Linked DNA regions of Cricetulus griseus. The protein of the gene in region 2 interacts with the protein of the main gene of each other region in a pairwise test. Links are inferred from orthologs where the notes say so. Each region holds a gene or a part of one and is shown on either strand. Other genes may lie near its edges. The genes, in order: Dtx2, Rfx6, Frs3 and Nedd9.

What was found.
Region 1: the proteins of Rfx6 (region 2) and Dtx2 interact in binary tests that used the Homo sapiens proteins (3 or more experiments, as listed by UniProt). The two-hybrid records come from large-scale screens. The link is inferred for Cricetulus griseus from reciprocal best matches to the Homo sapiens genes RFX6 and DTX2.
Region 3: the proteins of Rfx6 (region 2) and Frs3 interact in binary tests that used the Homo sapiens proteins (3 or more experiments, as listed by UniProt). The two-hybrid records come from large-scale screens. The link is inferred for Cricetulus griseus from reciprocal best matches to the Homo sapiens genes RFX6 and FRS3.
Region 4: the proteins of Rfx6 (region 2) and Nedd9 interact in binary tests that used the Homo sapiens proteins (3 or more experiments, as listed by UniProt). The two-hybrid records come from large-scale screens. The link is inferred for Cricetulus griseus from reciprocal best matches to the Homo sapiens genes RFX6 and NEDD9.

The regions. Positions count from the first base shown.
Region 1 is NC_048597.1:115,025,356-115,030,591, forward strand, and holds part of Dtx2 (probable E3 ubiquitin-protein ligase DTX2), read left to right. Parts: intron 1-389; coding exon 390-527; intron 528-2,462; coding exon 2,463-2,536; intron 2,537-3,085; coding exon 3,086-3,244; intron 3,245-4,756; coding exon 4,757-4,918; intron 4,919-5,236. UniProt on the Homo sapiens protein: Regulator of Notch signaling, a signaling pathway involved in cell-cell communications that regulates a broad spectrum of cell-fate determinations.
Region 2 is NC_048595.1:257,100,659-257,106,761, reverse strand, and holds the start of Rfx6 (DNA-binding protein RFX6), read left to right. Parts: upstream 1-2,012; coding exon 2,013-2,232; intron 2,233-2,524; coding exon 2,525-2,681; intron 2,682-5,455; coding exon 5,456-5,579; intron 5,580-6,103. UniProt on the Homo sapiens protein: Transcription factor required to direct islet cell differentiation during endocrine pancreas development. Specifically required for the differentiation of 4 of the 5 islet cell types and for the production of insulin.
Region 3 is NW_023276806.1:255,491,018-255,496,995, forward strand, and holds the start of Frs3 (fibroblast growth factor receptor substrate 3), read right to left. Parts: upstream 3,551-5,978; 5' UTR 3,365-3,550; intron 1,862-3,364; 5' UTR 1,718-1,861; intron 402-1,717; 5' UTR 379-401; coding exon 313-378; intron 1-312. UniProt on the Homo sapiens protein: Adapter protein that links FGF and NGF receptors to downstream signaling pathways. Involved in the activation of MAP kinases. Down-regulates ERK2 signaling by interfering with the phosphorylation and nuclear translocation of ERK2.
Region 4 is NC_048596.1:260,972,905-260,978,366, reverse strand, and holds part of Nedd9 (enhancer of filamentation 1), read left to right. Parts: intron 1-473; coding exon 474-1,718; intron 1,719-3,005; coding exon 3,006-3,095; intron 3,096-5,340; coding exon 5,341-5,462. UniProt on the Homo sapiens protein: Scaffolding protein which plays a central coordinating role for tyrosine-kinase-based signaling related to cell adhesion. As a focal adhesion protein, plays a role in embryonic fibroblast migration.

The DNA.
Region 1 (5,236 bases), on a different chromosome or scaffold from region 2:
CCACATCCCTGTCTCTTTCTTCCCTGCACCTGTTATGGGGAGATGCCATGCAGGAGGCCCCTGGGCCGTTCTGCCTCTGCTCTCCTAAAACCACTTTGTCTTCCTTCCCCTTCCCTGCATGCTGTGGGCACAGGCTCAGCAGTGGCTTGTATAGACTTCAGGGACCTTTGGGTTCAGATTCTCTGGTGTCTGGCCTGTAGTACCACTTTGCTGGCCTGGGGAGGCACTGGCACCCTTCCAGTGACAGATCCCCTCTCCTGAAGTGATTCCCAGTCTGATGGCCATTCATGATGTCACCACTTCACTCCCAGCAGGGTCATGAACACCAAGTGTGGAATGCCTCCTTCTAACGTTTGTCCCCCTGCATGTCTGATCTCGCACCCGTGCAGGCATGACGAGTGTGCTGTCAGCCATTGGACTCCCTGTGTGTCTTAGCCGCGCACCCCGGCCCACCGGCCCTCCTGCCTCCCGTCCGGCCTCTAAAGGTCACAGCTCAGTTAAGAGGCTGAGGAAAATGTCCGTGAAAGGTAGTTCCTGCCCGGCTCACACACACTGTAGCTCTGCTCAGCTTCCTCTAAATCCTGCTGCTGGACTCTTCTCTGCCTTCCATGGCCCTTCTCTACTTCTGCACCTCTTCTCCTGCCCTTGTCTGCCAGCAGAAGTGGCTCAGTATTGTTGGGTGAAGGGCTTGTTGCTGAGGACATGTAACTTCAGTGTTGACCTGGTTGCTGATCATGATGCTGCTGTCTCTTCAGGAAGCCTCACTGACTTTTGAACCTTGGTCTTCCTGCTGCCACCTCCTAAGCTTTGGTGTTGCAGGCATGCACCACCACTCCCAGTTCATGTAGCATTGGGTTTGGAACCCAGGGAAGGCTTTATGCATGCTGGGCAAGCAGTCTACCAACTAAGCTAAAAGTCCCAGCCCTCTGCACAAACTTGTATTGTGCTTCTGTAGAGACAGATTTGTGGACAGGGCAGGCTGGCAGCTTCTCAGCACACCCAGTTTGTTTGTAAAGAACACTGACATTTGGCCGGCAGTCCCTCTGGCGCTCTGGGGGATAGGTAGGTGACTCTTACGGGATTGACGTGGCTGGCCTGAGTGCTTTGAGAAATGCCAGTAACTGAAGCTCCTTTCAGCCATAGAAGGCTGTGTGGACAAGTGGGCAGCAGGATGCCTAGCTGGTTCTGAGCCAGAGGGAGGTCCTGAGGTTACCTGGAGACTGGTCTGTGTAGCATAGAGCTTCCCTGTCTTCTGTTTTTGAGACAAGTTATTGCTGTACACTCAAGGCTGGCTTGGAATTTTAGTCCTGCCTCTCAAGGCATGGACTGCCATGCCTGGCTGACTGGGCTTTTCTAAAAGGCCCCCTGATCTAAAGGAAGTCCTACCTATGTGGTCCTTTTGTTTGGTTTTCTTGCCAATGACCAGAGTGTGAGTGCTTTGCAGGTATTGTGAGTTGTGTGCATGTGTGTGTGGGTGTCTGTGTCTTTGTGTTTGGTGAGTTAGGGCATATGTGGGATGTATGTGGTACCCTTTGCTGGTTTCTACCTTGTCCAGGAGCTAACAGCTGATACTTTTTTAACCAATGACAACTTCCTGGATCTCTGAGGTAGTAGGATTTGGTCACAGTACATGAAGTAGAATCAAACCCCATGTCCTCTGATTCTAGCTTCTACACTAAGCCCCTCTCCATGTGGCTGTGACCTGCTTCTCTGGTCTGGAGTGGTCCTGTGGTCCTCAGGCTAGACAGTGGGCCCCTGGTTGGGTGGCTGCTTCAGGGCTGCACCGTTCTCCCTGGCCCCTTTTCTGCCCCCTCACTGGCTTAGCTAAGATTCTGAGACTTTGCTGCCCCTTCTGTCCTACTCTTCTGCTACTTGGAGACTTTTAGTCCCTGGTTCAGGGCTCCCCTCAGCTGAGCCTCACACACTCATGCACAGCCAGCCGCTTCCAGGATCACTCAGCTTCAGAGCCCAGTGGGCCTGTGACCAAGATCCTCCAGTCCCAAGGTGTGTGTGGGGTAATGTGTTGTGACAACATTTTCAGTGCATACAGATGCTCACATTGTCCCCACTCCATACCCACTAGACTCTAAACTACCCCTCTCTGAAATTTCCATGGAAAAGTGCTGATAGTTGGGCAGGAGGCACCACCAGGATCTGCTGGGGTGCTTTGTTCTCAAAGTTGCCCTTTGACACATCTGGGGTGGTTCTTGGGGGATGTGCTGTTCTGTTGTGAATTCTGTGTCTCCTCGGAAAGCAGGTGGCCTAGGTGGGGTGTCACCTATCCTGTGCCTTCACTGGAGGCTGCCCTGTCTTTCAAGCTAACTTTCTTGTCTCAGCCCTGCTAACGTTTGCTCCTTGCAGCTGGGACTTCTGCCTGCCTGCCTGCCTGCCTGCTCCCTCCTCAGCCTTGCTCACCCCACCTCACATGCCTGGGACATCGCTGACATCTTGCTCTCTTCCAGATGGGCCGCCGAAGCCCGAGCCGGAGCATGTGATCAGAAAGTACACGGAGGAGCTGAGAGTGGCCCCCGATGAGGTATGTGTGCTGAGAGAAGGGCCCCATCCCTCAGGGCCTGGAGGAGGCTGACACTATGCTCCAGAACCTGGTGTTGGTTCCACCCTTTCATGGTTGGATAGACATTACCAACATGAGGTAGCCTGAGCTCATTCTCACCGCATGGCCAAGCTTAAGTCCTGAGCAGTGTGCTTTCCCCTCTGGCCCATGGGGTACGTAGGCATGACTGACTGGCTCTGCCAGGCCATCTTTGTGAGGGAACAAGGTGGCCTTGCCCAAGGGACACCCTTTCTTCTCTGGCTTCTGTGTCTAGAGAGACCATTGGGTTCTTTTTGCCTTGTGGCCTGTGTTTTTTGGTCAGCCCTTCAAGGACATAGGTGAGAGATGGCGCTGTGGTCCTATGTTAAGGAACTGTTTCTGGGTTGACTTTGATGGCTTGGCATTCCCTCCTTTTGACAAAGCCAGGACTCTTCCTCCCTCACCCCTGCACTGGCTCACTGTGCTTGGTATTGGTGTGTGAATGCTATGGCGGATGTCCTAGCAAGTGTGTGCTGTGTGCTTTCCCTGCAGGACTGCATCATCTGTATGGAGAAACTGTCTGTGGCCTCTGGGTACACCGATGTGACTGACGGCAGCACCCTTGGGCCCATGGCTGTGGGACGCCTCACCAAGTGCAGCCATACTTTCCACCTGCTGTGCCTGCTGGCCATGTACTGCAATGGGAACAAGGTACCCATAGGTCTAGGTGGGGCTGTGGTGACCTGTCCTCACGTTGTGGTGTTACATACCTGTAATCTCAGTACTTGGGAAGCTGAGGCAGTAGAAGCATAAGTTCTAGCCCAACCTGAGCTCTACAGAGAGACCCTGTCTCAAGAAAACCAAACAAGGAAGAAGCCCAAGATATGCTAGTACAGTAGCAGGCTGAAGGGCAGATGTTGGGCTGTGGGTTGAAAGACTGGGCTCACTCCTGATTAGACCAGTAATGGCCTGGGCCAGGAGTATAGCACAGTGGTAGGGCACCTGCCTAGAATCCCATGTGGCTGGGGTGTGGCATAGTGGTAGAGCACTTGCCCTAGGTTCCCAGCACCAGAAAAAGCCAAAGGTTGGGGGCTGGAGAGATGGCTCAGAGGTTAAGAGCACTAGCTGCTCTTCCAGAGGTCCTGAGATCAATTCCCAGCAACCACATGGGATATAACCATCCATTATGAGATCTGGTGCCCTCTTCTGGTGTGCAGATATACATGGAAGCAGATGATACACACATAATAAATAAATAAATAAATAAATAAATAAATAAATAAATAAATGGGCCAAAGGTTTAGAGATGTTTTTGAATGTATGTCTGGGTCCCTGAGGCCCACCCCAAGCTGTAGGATTATGGCCAACAGGGCTGAGTACATGACCCCCTCCAGCTTACCTCAGGAAGGGGTCCTGGGCTCGCTCCTCTGGGCATTAGGGCTGTGTCTCCTACATACTACCACTTCCATGCATTTAATATCTTCCTCTGACAGTCCTGAGTAGTCAGCCATCACCCTTAGGGCACTGTGCATGGACACCTGCTTTCCCAGCACTTGGGAGGTGATGCCAAAGGCTCAGGAGTGCAAGGGCAGCCTGTGCTGCTTAAGATCTTCCTCAAACAAACGGCAAGTAAAATAGTCAGCAGATAGAGGAGCTTTTTGTACAAGTCTAACCCTGAGTCCATGTAAAAGTGGAAGGAGAAAACCGACTCCGTTAAGTTGTCCTCTGCCTTCAGATGCATGTCCATACAGGGAAACAAAACAAAAACTTAGGACTCTGGCTAGAGTCCTATCCTACTCCTGACTGCAGGTTCCATGCCACTTCTCACAGGGAGGGTCCTTCTCAGGCCCCAGCAGCTGGCCCAGCTGTCTTGTGGAGGAGTTTAGTCAGAGGTGTGTAGGCGGGAAGGGGAGGCAAGTCACACAGTTTTCGAGGCCTGGTGCTCCTTGTACACTTCCCGAGAGCCATGTCAGGGAGGTCTGTGAAGGTGACTAAGTGGAGACTTAACTCTCATTTTCCTACCATGTGCCAGTCTCCTGGTATCTTGTCAGTTGAATGAGAACCGGGTTTGGGGTGCACAACGGTACACTATTGAGGTCCAGTTTCTGTGAGGGGGCTGTGTGGGGGCCAGAGTAAAACATGCTGACCCCCTTTGCTATCTGGACGTGGCTCTAAATTGTGCTGGTTGCTGCTAGCTCAGGCTGTCTGCTCTGCCCTCTCTAGGATGGGAGTCTGCAGTGTCCGTCTTGCAAAACCATCTATGGGGAGAAGACAGGAACACAGCCATGGGGAAAGATGGAGGTGCTCAGGGTCCACGTGTCTCTCCCAGGCCACGAAGACTGCGGGACTATACTCATTGTTTACAACATCCCTCACGGCATCCAGGTGAGGGCCAGCTCCCCACCAGGGACCTGGCCAGGCCACCATTCCTGAGCGCTCTTCTTCGTGCCCACTGCACTCTCAGCATCTACACCATATAGGGAGCAGGACGGCCCTGCCTGGAGGGGTGCTGGGGTTGTGTAATGGAAGAAAGAGAAGTATCTTTTGACCCTTCTGAGTGAGGGAGGCTCTTCACAGGAGGGAATGTCTGAGCTGGTGTGGTGTGGGCAGAAGAGGATGAAGAACACTGCTGGGGCCTCATGAGTGTGCGTCAGGTGGTAGGGTACAGGGCGGGAAGGCTGAAATGCCGGCCAGGACCCTTAC
Region 2 (6,103 bases):
ACATGGTCATCCAGGATGAGGGCAGACTTGCCTCATCATCTAAGCATTCTGTCATGGTATCCCCTTAGGAAATGTTGACATCAATTCTTTAAACTTTGGGTGCAATTTACTACTTACACCTCCTTGCCTTGGGATTTTTAATGTTGGAAGATTATCTATTACTGATTTAATAACTTTAATTATTTCATGTCTACTAGCAATTCCTAACTCTGAAGAGAAGAACAAAGAACTCCAATGGTGTTTTGTAAAGTAGACCATTTACTTTAAATTATGGCCAAAAATTTGTTTAGGGCCTTAGAAGATATTAGTTTGCATTTCCATCGATCAGTTCAATGGGAAAATTGCCAAATACTCACTTAGTGTTTGTATGACTCACATACACAAACACACCTTCTGGATATCAAGTGGTCTGTATTTTAAAATTAAAGGAGAAATTCCAGTCATTTTCTGAACATTTTCCTCATGGCAATGCAGTATTAGTGGATAGAGCCCTTCTGTGAACACAAAGAGGACTTCCATTGCAGAAAGCACCTGAGTGTGTCTCGGTAAAGGTTGTACATGTTAGCACTGAAGTGAAAAGCCCTACACACTAAGCAGTCTCCAAGGCTTTTTAGAAGACTAGGTAGAGAAGACAACGCCAAGTTGTCCTAATGGGTAAGAGCCTCAGAACATAGGATATGGGTAAGTGTGTGGCTCCAGCCTGCAGTCAGCAGCCACAGGAAGCTGGTGAGAAGAGCTTTGAGAGAGGAGATGCCTTTTCCAGCAAGAGCTGCTGAAAATGCAGAAGCTGCAACACAAGAACAGTTTCAGCTGCCCTGGGGGAAACCCTGCTCTTGGATAGACTGTTCCCTGTAAGTGGTCCTTCAGTGATCTGCCACTCTGGGTCTCATTTTGTTTTCTCTGGGTGATTTCAGTTTAATGTTATTTCATGCTGAATTCAAGGCTGACATCTCTTTCTGATGTCCCCCAAAGAAGATACAGGATCAGCTGTGATGAAACAATGGAAACCAGTGCCTGATCCTATCTTTTCCTGGAGGGCCTGTTTGTCAAAAGGACACAAAATAGAATGAAGAAAACCATGTGTCAGCCAGGCAGTTGGATCCCAAATCCCCACATAGCACCCTTCTCTAAGAAAATCCAACTTACTTTTAAACAAACACGACTTTTGTCATTTTTGATTGGAAGGTTATTAAATTTAAGCAAATATCCCTTGTACACTGCTCAGCGTGAAATGAGGAATTGTAAGGGAATTTTTGAGAGAAAAAAAATCTTTTTTTGTAAGGGAATTTTAAGAGAATGCATCTTTTCCTCCAATCTCGGCAGCTTAGAGAGCTGTGTGAGGCCCAAGTGTCCAAGTCAGTGTGCACAGTGCAGAGCAGTGTGATGTGACCAGCTCTGCCTTCCAGTCACTGAACAGGATGCTCCTGTATCCTTGGATTATGCTGGAAATACATATGATCAAGTCTGTGGGAAGAATGGCGAAAGCTGAATGGTACTCAGGGTTTTATTCCCTCTCATCCTAAGCTTGCAGAGTCAAGGCTGCCCTGACAGGTGCCTCAGTTAAGACTCCCGAGAATAAAGATGGGGACAGGTGAAGCTTCTTGTCCCAGTACAGAGGAAAGCTAAGCTTTCTGGGATCATTCAGGAAGTTTTTCCATAGAGAAGTAGCTCTAAACCTAGAACAAGGTGAGAGAGAACGCATGAAGAGGAAAACAGCTCAGGTGTGACTGACACGGTGTGGAAGTGAGCTGGGAGCAAGCTTCTGCTCAGACCTGAGACGCTCGAAAAAAGGTAGCATTGCCTCCGCCCTCCTCCACCCCGCCATCTGTGCAGTACCTGTTCACTCTGTCCCCTCTCCGCCATCGGTGGGCTCTGAGCCTGTGGCCTCCTCCCTGCCCAGCGGCCACAGGTTCCCCAGCCCCGCCCCGCCCCGCCCCGCCCCTCCCCAGGTCTCTGGGCTCTACACCGAGCTGGGCCAAGCTCTGCTCCCAGGTGTGCAAACGCTGGAAAGGATGGCCAAGGTCCCCGAGCTGGAAGACGCCTTCGTGCAGGAGCAGCCTTCGCGCCAACTTCCCTCCGAGATCGCGGAGGAGTGCTGCGCACAGCTGCTGGGCAAGGGCTTGCTGGTCTACCCCGAAGACAGTGCGTACCTGGCCGCAGGAGCAGCTGCAGGCGCCCCAGGCAGCCGGGAGAAAGGCGGAGACCCCAGGCTGCAGGTGGGAGTCAAATCAGGTGAGTGCTCCGTTCGCCTTGGCTGCGAGGCAGAGACTGAGTCCCAAGGGCGCCCAACAATAAAAATAAACCCATACTGAATACACATAGAAGAAGTAGGGTGCTCTGTCGGGACCGTTTTATTTCACCACGAAAAATGTTAACGGAAACATTGTTAACACCGAGGGCTTTGCTCAACTCCTGCCTTGCTCCTCCCCGGGCTTCTTATTCAAAGCAAGGCAGGTAGATGTGGAGGCCACCGGACTGATCGCATGTTCCCTTGTTCTTTGTCACTCCTTAAACTCGCCATCAGAAATGCATTTAAGCAATGGTAACTTTTCCTCCGAAGAAGAGGATGCGGACACACACGAGAGCAAGACCAAAGCCGCCGACCCGCAGCTCTCTCAGAAGAAGAGCATCACGCAGATCATGAAGGACAAGAAGAAGCAGACTCAGCTCACCCTGCAGTGGTAAGCCGGCCCCTACGCGCAAAGCGAGCACCCTCTGAAGTCCACCTGCCTGCCGGTGTCTCTAGGACCCTGGCTTTCCCCCTGCTTGCTTTCCTTAAAACTTCCACAAGTTTAAAAGACCCATGAGAAAAGCATCCATTTTCTTTTCACTGCCTACACGCACGATCCATGTTCTGATCATGGTGAAAAACGAGATATATATTTTTGACTAAAACCTCTAGGTTCTTCCCATGTGAGTAGTGATGAATTTTTCCGTGATTATTTGCTAAACACGGAAACTATTTATTTGGTATTTTTATGCTTTTGAGATAGGATTCTTCAAAATAACAAAAAGTGGAAGGATCCACATGAGGGCAGATACTGTGTCTTTGGAAAGTAGATGGATTGAGTTAGAAGTAAAAAACTGATAAGTCAGTTAAGCTGTTTTGATTAACAATTTTCAATTTATATAATATATCACACATATGATTTACTATAGCAAAACATCACAAACTGATTTTTTCCCAAGATCTTTTAAAACTAAAAGATTATCACCAGGTCTTCTCCTAAATATTAAGAGCGTTTTTTTTTTTTTTTTTAACCTTGTCTAAAAGGAAGAGATATCTAAAGTTAAGTCCTTGTCATTAAGAACATTTGCATAATGGGAAGGATTAAGGCACAAATTTCTTGCCAATTCTGAATAATAAATAAAAGATTACTTACTTACTGATTAGTTATTCTGTCTGTCTATCGTCTTTCTATCAGTCGTCTATCTAGTATTATCTAAGTGTTAGAAAAAATTGAAAAATAGAATCCATAAATGCTAGCAAACTTTATTTTTGTTTATTTAATTATTAAGTTCTAATTTGCATAGCCTAAAGTTCTGAAACTATGCTTGAACCCTTGCAACATCTGAAATATAAAACAAATATTCCTGTAAAGTTGTATTTTGACTATTGAGGTTTGTTGTTACAATTACTAGTTGAAAATACCCTGGAGTTGTACATAATTGAGAAATTATATGGAATATTTAGGAAACAACTACTGCCATCAGGATAATTGGGAAAATTTTTGACTTTGGATTTATTTTAAAGGATTTTGAATGATCTCTCCTGGGTTTTTAATTCAAATTGAGTGATTAGAAACAATCCTAGGTTGTTTAAAATTCTTATCATATATATGTATATATGATAAGATATATATATTATATATATGTCTAGTTGTTGACTCAGTATTTTGAAAATTGAACAATGACTATAAAAACAAGTACCCAAATAAATGGATTGTGGGTATTATATACCTACCTTTAAAATGCAAGTTTTAAATAGCAATTTCTCATAAGAATTTTCATGTTTTGAAGAATGTTACATTGCTCTTGTGTTATAAATGATTATGATTTTATTAAACTTGAAAGTAGTATAATTACATTTTAGTAAAAATTACTGGACAATTAGAAAAAATGGCAATAGAATATAGAAGTCTTCATTTCTAGATTGTCATTCAGATAATTGCATCACAAACATATTCATTACATTACATTTAGTTAATTAAATGGAAATCTACCCAGGTTTTCAAAGTTTATATAGTTATATCTATACTACAGAGTTGGGATTGTCTGTGTTGTATTCAGACTTCCATAGAGGTATATTGTTGTTTTAGATGATCATAGGTTTAATCACGTGAAAAGTTTTAAGAGTGGAATCAGATCGACATTTCAGCTTCAGTGAAGTGAGTTTACCCTGGTGTCTTTTCCAAACAAATACTATACCATATTTTCTCTTATTGATTAGGATTCAGAAGTAGTCAGGGTGTATGAGCATTGACAAGCTGAAACCTGGCAATCCTTTTGAATTGAGGATGTTCTTTTAAAAAACATAGCATCTACAATTTCACCACTTACAGTCCTAGATCAAATAGTAAACAATTGAACACTGAAGATTTATAAGGAAGTAAGATCCAGTATTTACAATGGTGGCCTGGAAGGAGTGGTTTCTACATTAACATCACATTGTGATTGAACTAACAGGTGATCACTGTTGTTCTTACTCTTCTCAAATTAATCCTTATGTTTTGTTTGTGTTTATGTGGCACATCTGTGCTTGCTTACAACACAAACATTGTTTCAGGGTTTTTGTGAGTCAGGAGTCTAGACAGGTTACTTGCCACTAAGTTCATGGCATTACCAGAAAGAAATTAAGAAATTAGTTGATGCTGGAATTTCATGAGACCTTTTTTCTATTGTTTCTCTAATCTCACTGGCTGTTGAGAGAATTTATTCTCTCTGTAGACCTGAGGTCCTCAACTCCTGTAGATTACCTGTTATTCCCTTACAGGTGGCCCTCTTTAGAAATTACCGTTTGTTTCCCTAGATCTGCAGAGAGTACCTGCTATGACTTCAGGCCTTCCTTCCATTTCTGACTTCCAGACATTGTTTCTAGGGGCAAAATTAAATGTAATCAAGAGAATTTCCTTTAATAGGAAATTAACTAACACTTATACATAACCTTTGTACACGTTTTAAAAGTCCACTGTTATGTTTTGATTATGTAAACACTGAATAGTGACAGCAGTGTAAGGAGTATATCCATCACCATAAACCACTAAGATTCTTTTTATGGAATACACATTCAAATTCCTCAATTTTTGGCTATTTTTATCCAGAACAAAGAAAGCCCATTTATGTTTACTCATTAACTCACTTGTATAGTCTGTTTTCAAAATGAGCATTAAGTCATTGAGGGGGCAGGGAGGTAATAGTGAAAAGGTTTGACCTAACTCTTGTCCTTTTCTCTTAGGCTTGAAGACAATTACATAGTGTGTGAAGGAGTTTGTCTCCCACGGTGCATTCTTTATGCCCACTATTTAGATTTCTGCAGGAAAGAGAAACTGGAGCCAGCTTGTGCAGCCACCTTTGGAAAGGTATATGACATATATTGGCTATACTCCCTGACAACTGACATATTAGGTAGACAATATGTAAGCCAATTCAACTGAATGATTTCTCCTAGAGAATGTAAAGATATTTACTTTACAAGCATAAATGAAATTCCTTAGTGTTTGGTTGGAACTGCATTATGTTTATATCTTGATTTTTGGAGTCACCGAATACCAGCTATCAGATCTAATGTGAGCTCAAGGCAAGCTCCATAACATAGTAGCTTGCTCCTTCAAAGAGGGTGCATTCAAGAACATAGTTAAACTATGTTGGGAAGTAAAAGTAAATGAGGGTCAAGCAAGAAATGCAGGCTCTCATTATTTATATAATCCAACCATTTGAGTTTTTGATAGATTTTTTTTCTGTTACTTACGTAGCTGTCCTAAATCTTTGTTTCAGTATGAGTATGCTTATGCCATAGACTTAACATTTTTATGATTGGGATTGATTAAATTTCTGACATTTAGCATTTCTATCATTAGGATGGGAATCTATGAATTTGACATTA
Region 3 (5,978 bases), on a different chromosome or scaffold from region 2:
TCTCAGTGTGAGGAGAAGGCGCCTCCTACGGGATGTAGGGAACCAAGGTTCATGAATCACCAACGTAGCATTTCTTAGGGGCTATGCATGCTCTCTTTAAAACACATTATTCTTGGTGGTAAGAGTGGGGGGGAGAACAATCAAAAATAAAAAACAAGAGTTAGTCCCCCCCCCACTACCTCAGAAGTCAAAGAGCAAGCACAAGGTGCCTTAATGAGTCCACAACCACAGCCTGTCATTTCCCCTTCCCTAGAGATACTGGCAGCCTAAACTCAACAAGCCACTGAGAACGAGGGGGGAGGCTCTGGGTACCTTGAACTTGGTAGGGTGGTTGTGTGGCACGCTGTCTCTGTCCAGGCAGCTACAGCAGCTCCCCATGGTGTCAGAGCAGCCTTTCCACCCTAGGGAAAGACAAGGATGAGTAGCTCACCGGCAACCCTGCTCGGCAGCTCTGAGCAGAGCGGTGCACTGTGAACATATCCTCTGGACAAGAGGTTGCACAACACAGACACACCCTGAGGGAATTCTCTCTCAATCCACAGCCAAACACGCTTGGGATAAACATTAATTCAAGTTAGAATGAGTTAAGGATTCCTGCAGGTGGTGGGGGGGTAACAGTTAGTGTGGCACTGGGAAGCACACAGGGCTCCTACCTGTGGAGTGATATGGACAGTGTCTTGGGCTGCAAAGGCAGCATGGCTATAATGGTGTGGGGAGGGGCTGCCTCAGCTGTGTTGGATTCAGCAAAGTGCCACTTGGTGTCCCAGATACCGTCTTGTTGCTTTCTCTTTTCCTCAGCTTTTACCTTACCCATTCCACTCTATCCATGTTCTGACTTTTCTTTCATGCCCCACCCCAATTTCCACTGGAAACCAGTAATTCTGATGTTCTCCTCAAGTAAACTGTTGCTACACTGTGATCATAAAACACAATGAGCTATGCCGGGTGGTGGTGGTATGCACCCTTAATCCCAGCACTCAGAGGCAGAGGCAGGCAGATCTCTGTGAGTTCAAAGCCAGCCTGGTCTACACAGTGAGTTCCAGGACAGCCAGGGCTGTTACACAGAGAAAGACTGTGTGGGGAGGGCGGGGGGCGATAAACAAACCAATAAACTAAAACAACCCCACACTTAATGACTGAACACTGGAACTCACAGAGCTCTTGTCTCCATTTTTCAAGGGCTGGAGTAAAAGTGCATACTACCAGGTTGGGCTCAAACTAGCATGATTAAAAAAAAAAAAACATTGATTAGGTATTTCTTCACTGAGAAAAAAATTCTGGGGCTCAGCATGTAGCTCAGTGGTAGACTTTCATGTGAGGCACCAGATTCAACCACCAGCACTCTAAAATAACTACCAGAATGCTTAGTTTTCTTCCCAAAGGCCAAAGAACAGATAAAAGACCTTGGCTGGCTTTTCCCTTCAGGATACTTGTAATTGGATGACATGTCACAACAGACAGGTTTCTGCCTTAATATGGAGAGGAGACCTCGTAGACCTTAGTGACCTAAGGGAACAAGAAACACATGGACAGAGCCCAAACAAGTTACTACCACTGAGCTACACTCCTAGACTCAGCCAGCAAAAAACCATGAGGCAGCAGATTATCCCAGAACTGCTGCTGCTGTGGTAGGACCTTGAACAATCCAGCGACCTGTTCCCTACAATTCTCCCAAGTTAAGAAATCTACAAAACTGACACCTAGCCACAGTTCTTACCTCACCCAGGCCATTGGGGAGCTGACCATGGGAGGGGCATGGGAAAGAATTCCCACTTTACTCCCCCAGTCTTTGGTGGGGTGACATGGCAAAGAGTCTGCAGAGACGTCACCTGGATCCCTGTGGGTCACACCTGAGGCTCACCTAGCACAGGAGACAGAGATCACACATTAATGGAAACCTATCCTCAGCCCCTAACTCTCCATGAGACAGACTTGTTAGCAGTGCATCCCACCTGGATTTATCTGGCCTAGGTCCTAACAGAAAGGCCAGTGAACACAATCTCTGGTAAAGGTCTACAAATTCTCAGTCCCGGGAGGAACTCCCTAGGTCCAACGGCAGTGAACTCCGATAGCCCAGCACCTTTAGTTCACAGCCATCATTGGAGTGCCCTCTGGGACAGGTGCAGCTCAGACCATCACCTGACCCTTCTCTCTCAGAACAACAATATTAACAAATGCTAGTGCAGCAAGAGCACGAGTTTGAGCCTCTGAAAACCAACATTCACCCGCAGGAATGTTTTCCTGCTATGACATAGACATATCTGGGTGGGGGCTTGTCACTCCCCCCCCAAGACCTCTAACTCTTGTCCCCCGCCCCTCTTTAGGAAACATCTGTCAACCATGGGAGTTCTAGCTGAAGTAACTTCTAGAAATAGGTATTAATAAGGCACTGCCCATTTGAAAGCTAGACAGGCTTTCTGCTCCTAGTGCCAGGAAGGCCAGTTACAACAAGAGGCAAAGTTTCAGATTGAGCCCTAGGTAGATGAATTGACAAACCAGGACTCCGAAGAAAACTCTTGAAATCCCTCCTTCCTGTTCCAGGAAAACAGTACTTCCCGGTGTGTCTCCCCCCCCCCCCCACCAGCCCTGCACCCTTGCACAACACTTAGGTAAAAGAATCCCCACACTCTTGGTCTGGCTTTGGAAGGAGGTGTGTGCAGGCTAAAGGCGGTACTGAAAAGACCATAGGGCTTAAACTGTCAACAGGGTGTTGGGAAGGGATGGGAAGCCAAGTACACTGGATGCAAGATGGGGGAGGGCTTGTACCTTTCCGATACCCCTCCTTTTCTTTGAGATATCAAACACATTATTAGATAATCCAGAGTGGGATTACACTGCGTGGGGTGGGGGAGGCTCTGGTCTGAGGTAGTTAGATTTGGGGACAGACACTAGATGGAAGTATGAGGACTGAAAATGTATACGAAGATGGGTGAGGATTCTGGATTCCGGCATGGAGCAAAAAGAATGAAAAGGTTGAGGCATTTCAGGATGGTGACTGCGGAAGCCTTTGGGCCACTGAGGGGAGAACGAGATGTGTCTGTGGGTCTGGAAAAGTGAGTGAGGGGGTTCTGCGGGATCCCGGAGACCCGAAGGTGTAACCGGGGAGAGGAGAGAGGGGAGAGGGGAGAGAGGAGAGGTGGGGTCTGGGGAGCGAGAGGCAGAACTGGTTACAGGTTTTCTAGATACCCAGACGGAATGCGAAGGTCGCGGCCGCCCTCCGAGACCGCATCCCCGCCCCCAGCCCCCGGGTCCGCCGCTAGCCCGCCCGTTTGGGGCTTTCTAGGGTAGGAGCGGAGACTGCGGCGCGGCACGACACGGCCTCGGAAAAGTCGCCTGGTCCCCGCCCCGCCGCACCCCGACTCACATCGCCCCGCGGCCCGGGCGGCGCCGGGCCCCGCTCCCGGGTCCCGAAGCAGCAGCCGCCGCCGCCCGCCCGCAGCTAAGGCCTCCCCGCCCCGCCCCGCTCCGGTCCCGCGGGGTCGGAGGTCACCGGCTGCACCAACGAGACGCTGCGGGCAGGCCGACCCGGGCGGGGGCCACCGGCAGGCAGCCTAGAAGGTCCCTTTGGAGGACTTTGCAGTCGGGGGCAGAGAGCATGCGCAGACGCCAGAGGGCGCTCGGGGCCGGAGCCTGGGAACCCATAGGGGCGTGGCCTGGCTTGAGGCGCCGGGTGGGGCGGGGAACGTAGGTATCAGCGATCTCTCAAGCAGAAGAGAATCACCAAAGGCAGCAGAGCGGGTCGGCCACTGAAGCAGGACAGGACTCGAAATCCAGGAGGGAAAGTGGCGAGGGACCACTGGGGACAGAGGGGGGGAGCTGCAGAGGACCGCAGGGGGCGGGGCTGAAGCCGGGGGCCGGCCGAGGGGCTGCAGACGCCTCGCGGTTCGGCGGTGGAGCGTCGCGTCGCTAAGTTTATGGATGCCTGCCTGCGCCCTCCCCGTCCTGAGACCCACGAGCGCGATCCTCAGTCTGCAGCACCCTTTGGTCGGGGCCACCGGGGGCGTAGACCGACGGGGGGGTCTCTCCAGAGAGAGAGACTGGGCCACGCTGAGACCCCTGCGGAGAGTTTGAGTCCCTACTCTTAGACCAGCAGGTAGACAGGGACCCCAAGCGAACTTGGTAAGCACACGTTGACCCCCGCTCAGCGGGTGGACCTGCAAAGTCCTAGGAAAAGTTTGGGGCTCTGCCGAGAGGCCACTTAATGAAAACGTACATTCTCCTCCCTTTCCCTCTGGTTCAGGGACACCTTCCCACGTCCACTGCCCTCCAGTCCCTAGGGCCTCTGGGGCTCATCCTTCCAAGAAGAGGTGTTGTTTGGGGAGGTTGAACCCTGAGCTTGGTTGCATCTGGGGTGAGGGGGCGGAGCCAGTGTTTGATCTGTTCTTACCTGAAAGGAGAGAGGAGGGGACTTACAGGGGGTGAAGTAGGTCTCTCTCTCTCTCCTCTCTCTCTCTCTCTCCTCTCTCTCCCACTCCTTTTCGGGACAGAGTTTCTTTGTGTAGCTTTGGAGCCTATCCTGGCACTCGCTCTGGAGACCAGGCTGGCCTCGAACTCACAGAGATCCGCCTGCCTCTGCCTCCCGAGTGCTGGGATTAAAGACATGCGCCACCAACGTCCGTCCCTAGGTTGCTCTTGAGATGGGGGATATGAAGGATGAAGGGTAGAGGTCTGAATTCTGATTGTTATTTTGTGTGCCAGACAGTTCCATGCAAACTAGAACTAATCAGGAAGAGGGTACAAGTCCCCTTCTGGGGCCCCAGAAACGCACCCCCCCTCCCTTGTTTCGTGGAGCTGAAACAGTGCTGCTAAGGGGTGTGGCTGTTCCCACCCCTGAGTGTGGACAGTCCATCCTGGCCACCTTCCACAGGAAACCTGACCTGAGGGACTAACAGGAATTCCGGAAGCAGGTGGGTGTGGAGTCAGGAAGGAGGGAGGGGTGGCACTGGATATTTGAAGGGGAGCTGGGGGGGGTGGTACTTGGAGTTGGGAGGTGCTCTGATGGTTATAAACAACTGCAGAACACTCAAAAGCCTGGTGATTTTCTGTTGGTCCTTTTGAGTCCAGCTGCTGCTGAGGTAGGCTACCTCCTAAAACTTCTGTAGCTTTCTAGTTTACTCACTGGTCAATGGTTGGTTTTTCAACTGTAAAACAGTTTAGAAGAAACTGCTTCAATGGGTTATAAGAATGGACTGTATTATGTAAAATTCTAGAATAGTTACTGACACTACATGAACCTAAAAGTTTGCTCTGGCTATCAGCATCCCACACAACCCAACCCTTCACCCAGGATTAATGTACATGAGCCTTGTTCTGTCTGGTTACATTTCTCACCCACAAACCTGAGACCCCCATCAAGAGCAGTTAGTCCCACCCGAAGAAACTGTGATCCCATTTCAACTGTGGCTAAAGAGGTGCACTGGAACCATCTGTTAAAATTGCTGCTATAAGGCTGGGTGTGGTGGTGCATGCCTTAGGTCTCTGGCACTTTGGAGGTCGAGGCAGGAGGATCAGGAGTTCAAGGCCAGCCTTGGCTCTATGAGCCCCTGTCTCATGCTGCTCTAACGGCAGGTGGTATAGCCTGATGGAAGAAAGCTTGCCAGGTTTTCGAGAGGCTGTGGGTTCAATCAGAAAGAATGAGTGAACACAGATTTTCTTGGACCCTTGAGGTATTTAGACTAGATGGGGAAACACTGGGTGACGATTTGGGGGCTTTGAGGACTCGGAGGGGAGAACCGGTACAGGCCAGCGAAGCTGAGGAGGAGTCCTGGTGAGGAGGCCTTCAGCCAGGCTCCAAAAGGACGTAGCTAGAAATGTGCAGCCCAAGTCATGTGTAGTGAGGGGGCAGATATGGGGGATGCACTGAGGAACCTTGGGAAGACTGGGGAGGTGAGGATAGGTCCAGCCTACCCAGAGGCTCATGGGAGAACAAAATGGTTCCTTCCCCTGTTGCCTTCTCTTCTACTCCACCCAACTTTGTA
Region 4 (5,462 bases), on a different chromosome or scaffold from region 2:
TTTCTGTCATTCTCTGAGAGTGCCCACACTTCAAACACAGCTAGCTTTGCTGAACAGACAGGGAACCCTGCCTCTGACTACTAAGGAGACTCAGGCAGCTTTACAAATCATCTGATGACCAAAAAGAGAACTCAGTTCGTCTCTCAGCATGGGTCACCCTGGGCAGGATAGTTAGTAAATGGTTGGAGACACAAGACTGCAACCTAGTGGTGACAAGTTAGGGCTCTACGCCCACGGCAGCCAGCATTGAGAATGGTAATGAATGCTCATGTGTATGGATGAGGGCACATAGCCTCTAAGGACCATGCTACACCCTGGGAAACATCGGAAATTAGTAAATGGTGGGTGGAGTGAAAAAGAAGATCTAATAAACAGATCTGTGCACTCTGGACCACACCTTCATGGACTGTCATTTTCTGCCTCCATCCAAGATCCAACTGAACAAATAAATTGGCTTTTGACTTACTTTTTAGGTCTATGCCATTCCACCATCAGCTTATCGAGATGAAGCAGGGCTTAGGGAAAAGGAATATGACTTCCCTTCTCCAATGAAACAAGATGGAAGACCAGACACTAGACCTGAGGGGGTTTATGACATCCCTCCAACCAGCACCAAGACAGCGGGGAAGGACCTTCACTCCAAATTCACCTGTGATGCCCCAGGAGCTGCAGAGCCAATGGCACGAAGACACCAGAACCTTTCTCTGCATCATCCTCCCTCTCAGCTGGGCCAGTCTGGGGGAACTCCGAGTGATGCTTATGATGTCCCCCGGGGAGTTCAGTTTCTGGAGGCACCCACAGAAACCAGTGAAAAGGCAAATCTGGAGGAAAGAGATGGTGTTTACGATGTTCCTCTGCACAACCCAGCAGATGGCAAAGGCTCTCGGGATGTGGTAGACGGCATCAACCGGCTGTCTTTCTCCAGCACCGGAAGTACCAGGAGTAACATGTCCACATCTTCCACCTCCTCAAAGGAGTCCTCATTGTCAGCCTCCCCATCTCAGGACAAAAGGCTCCTACTGGACCCAGACACAGCCATTGAAAAACTCTATCGGCTCCAGCAGACCCTGGAGATGGGTGTCTGCAGCCTCACGTCACTCGTCACCACAGACTGGCGGTGTTACGGATACATGGAAAGACACATCAATGAGATCCGTACCGCAGTGGACAAGGTGGAGCTGTTTTTACGCGAATACCTCCATTTTGCCAGGGGAGCTTTGGCTAATGCCTCCTGCCTCCCGGAACTGGTCCTCCACACCAAAATGAAGCGCGAACTCCAAAGAGTCGAAGATTCGCACCAGATTCTAAGTCAAACCAGCCATGATCTGAATGAATGCAGCTGGTCCCTGAATGTCCTAGCTATCAATAAGCCTCAAAATAAATGCGATGATCTGGACCGGTTTGTGATGGTAGCCAAGACAGTACCAGATGATGCCAAGCAACTGACCACCACCATCAGCACCTATGCAGAGACCCTCTTTAGAGCAGCAGGTCCTGGCAGTTCCCATCTGAAGAATGGGCCCGACAGCATCACGAACTCAAGCGAGTACACGCACACGGGGTCCCAGATGCAGCCATTGCGCCCTGGTGACTACAAGGCCCAGGTCCACAATAAGCCATTGCCTCCCACTCTAGGCAAGGAGCAGCCACCAGACTGTAGTAGCAGTGATGGTTCCGAAAGGAGTTGGATGGATGATTATGATTATGTCCACCTACAGGTAAGGAAACCAGACCCGTGGACCACCCACACTCACATTCAGGGAGCCGAGGATGGATATCTATAGGCCTGACAGCCAAAGGGCAGAGCACACTGAGTGCTAATCCAAGTGTTGTGAAAATTAAGGGTGGAGCTGTACAGAAATTGTACAGTCACTTTATTTACCTCCCTGGGCCCTAATTTTATTTTGAGAATGCACTAACTCAAAGGGTTGTATTAAAGCTCACTGATCACATACCTCAGCAAGCAGGAGGAGACTCACCAATGGGGAACAGTGGGTCCACTAGTCATGGCATCAATTCTTATTTATAGCACAGTTCCATGAAACAGCCCGTAGTAATAGAAAGAAGTTTTAAAATATGTCACTGTTAAGAAAATAAAACTATTGAAAATATCTGTTCATAGAGTTTCTAAGGAACTCTTGAGACCGTGTGTGTGTGTGTGTGTGTGTGTGTGTGTGTGTGTGTGTGTGTGTCTTTCACGGCTTACAAAGAATCATAGCCCCATCAGATTTAGAGGACCTGTGATCATTTGCCAACTGGCCAACAGCTTGGTCTGCATTTATTAAACTCTGCAAACTTCTTCCTAGAAGTATAAATTGTGCTAGTTCTCAGTTGACCTAGAATCCTGAAAATGACCCCTGCTTTGAAGAATTTAGACACTCCACCATAAACTAGTACTTAGTATGTATTTAATGTCTTATTCTGTCATTCTTTTCCATTTGATTGAGGGCCATGAATTATGCTGAAAACTGTTTAATACTGAAATCTCCCAGGTGCAAGAGAGTAGAAAGGATCACCTGAGCCTCATCTCATGCTGAGGAATGGCCTAAGCTGGATGAAGGCATTTAACATCCATCTCTCCAGGCTTCTGATGGTGTATCCTGGAGGGTACTAAGTACGGGTGGGGAGATATAGGAGATTCAAAGAAATTGGAAGTGAAATATGCACCCATTTTTTACCTTGGTTTGAAAGTGCATGCGTTTACATATAATCCATTACAAAAGAACCATGAAAAATTAAAGCCTCTTAAGAAGCATAAAGAGGATCATGGGAAGTTCTCCAGCTATAAGGAGCAACAACCATGGCAGCCCACCTGGAAGCAGGCTTCACTTTTCAAGCCTGTCTCCACACTAACTCTGGAAGCCCCTGTCAGTGGTTTACAATGTCTAGGGGGACATGAGGAAAGTGGCCAGGGAACAATGAGAGTCTGAGTGCATTTGTCAATGAAGCTGTTCTAAGTGACTCCCAGTGGTGAGGTAATGCAGTCTTTGTGCTGAAAACAATAGGGCAAGGAGGAGTTCGAGAGACAGCAGAAGGAGCTCTTGGAGAAAGAGAATATCATCAAGCAGAGCAAGGCCCAGCTGGAGCATCATCAGGTAAGTTCAAACAAAACAACGGGCTCTTTGGTGGAAGAAAGGGCTCCACTTAATAGGGAATGGATAACTTCAAAAGGCTGGGGTCCTGCCAGCACGCTGGCATGAAGAAGTCCCAGGCGTATAATAGGACATAAGAACAAAGTGAAGGTTTGTGGTCTGTGACTCCAACTGAGTATACCTGGCTTGCATCCAAATGATGGGGTTTGTTCGGGCTATGCCTGTTAATCTGTAACACATTAGGACTATTTGGGTTAAAGCCTTTGGTCTCAAAACACAAGTCCAATCAGGCTGGCCCAAGCTAATTGGTTTTCTATTGAGGCCACAGTAAGGAAATCAGGAGAATGAAAATGGAGCCAAGACCAACAGGATCAAAGGCTATCTTTTCTCCTTGTTTACCTTGTGGTTCTCTTCCAATATTTCCTTCATTCTCCTCTACTCTGACATTTTCTTTAGTCACCTCCTCCCTCAGGCCCCATCTAACTTTATAAAACTCACAATGGACACTCAAAGTCCTTTCTATGGGACTTTGTTTTATTATGTTATGCCTTGAGATAGGGTCTCACTATGAAGCCCAGGCTGGCCTCAAGCTTGATATTCTCCTTACTCAACCTCTTGAGTGTTGGGAGTGCAGGGGTGTGCCATTGTGCTGAGCTCCAAAGCATGGTGTTTCACATGGGATTCCTTGGTTAATGGTCAACCCCCTTCTGTGGTTATCAAATTCCTAAGAGAGTTTGATTCTAGCTCTCTCCCCAACCCTATCTCTCTACCTGTCTTTTGCATGGTCCATTGTAAGGGTCAAAGGGAATGATCCAATGTTTGTGAGACATACCCAAGTCCATTTACCAAGGGTTCTGAGCAGAGCACATTCACGTAAAGGGCTAATGAGCACCGCAGGTAAGGATAGATACTTCGAAGTCAAGGGCATGAAATCAAAGAGAAATTGACTAAAGATACAGACTCTTTAAGATGAAATAAATAGCTGATGTGCTATTTCACAGCACCACACCATGAAGTGACAAGATGCCTTTAGAAAACCTGAGTTCAAACCCTTGTTTGTAGCCAACAGGTGTGTCGACTTGAGCATCATGTAATGGGCCAAAACTTCAGTTCCTTCTCTGTAAAATAGGAAAGTACTGCCCTCTGTGAACACATGATTTGAAATCAAACTCATTATTATCAAATAATGTTGGAACACCACCCTATGTCTGCTGTGTTTACATTGGCAATTGGCCCCAGAAGACAGCAGAGCTTAAGGGAACTATCACACACTAAAGTAATTCCTAAGAATTCTGTGCAATACAAAACTGACTAACTATGTATGCACTTCTCAGGGCAGAGGGCAGGGGCGGGGCGAGCAGGATGCTATGGTTCCTGTGCTGACTCAGCTCTGAGTCCTAAACCTGGGATTCTTGGTGAAATAGCTAGAAATTATCATTTCAATCAGAAATCACAGTCCAGTTAGGGATACAAAGAAGAGAAAAAAAAAAAAAAACTGACGCCCAAGCCATTGAGATGGCTCAGTGTTGGGGACTTGCTGCAGAGCCTGATGACCTGAGTTTGATCCCCAGAAACCTCCTGCCATGGATTGTCCTCTGACCAGCACACTCATGCTATAAAATACAGTAAGCAATTAATGCTGGGATTTCCTCGTGTCCTTTCCCCAAAGTAGGTGTGCATTTGTAACACTTGCTTGTAGTAAAGAGTCATAATATGTACATCTTGACAGACAGGGTAGGAGAAATAGAGAAGCTTCATGAATTTTCCATCTTGAAGAGAGAGACAGAGCCTAACCCAGGAAGTGGCAAACTGTCAGTGATGTGTTTGACAGAAAGGTCACTGTGTCTGGCTTTCCCTTACTGTCTCTCAACATTTAAGAAACATTTACACAGGGCCTGCAATTCACCAAACACCATTTCCAGCACTGTGTGAAAAATAGTAATTCGCTGAACCCTCTTAATGGCATAAAAGGTGAGGCCTGGGTTTAAACCCAATGTTACCTTCCCATCAGAATGCAAAAAAGACAAATGGTGTCATCATGGGTCAGGGCTGGGGTATCCCTTAGGGATCCTCTTCCCAGGGTCTGTGTTGTACAATTTAGGAAGCAAGGCTTAGCCAAGGTCTCATAGCTCCTAAATACCTGGCATCTATTAAGGATAAAGCTGGTATCTTTTGACTCCACACCCACGTTGCTCTCCCTGTACAATGCATGTCTTGTCCTTAACAAGACCTCTTACCTTCCTTCCAGTTGAGTCAGTTCCAGCTGCTGGAACAAGAGATCACCAAGCCTGTGGAGAATGACATCTCTAAGTGGAAGCCCTCCCAGACCCTCCCAACCACAAACAACAGTGTGGGCGCCCAGGATAGGCA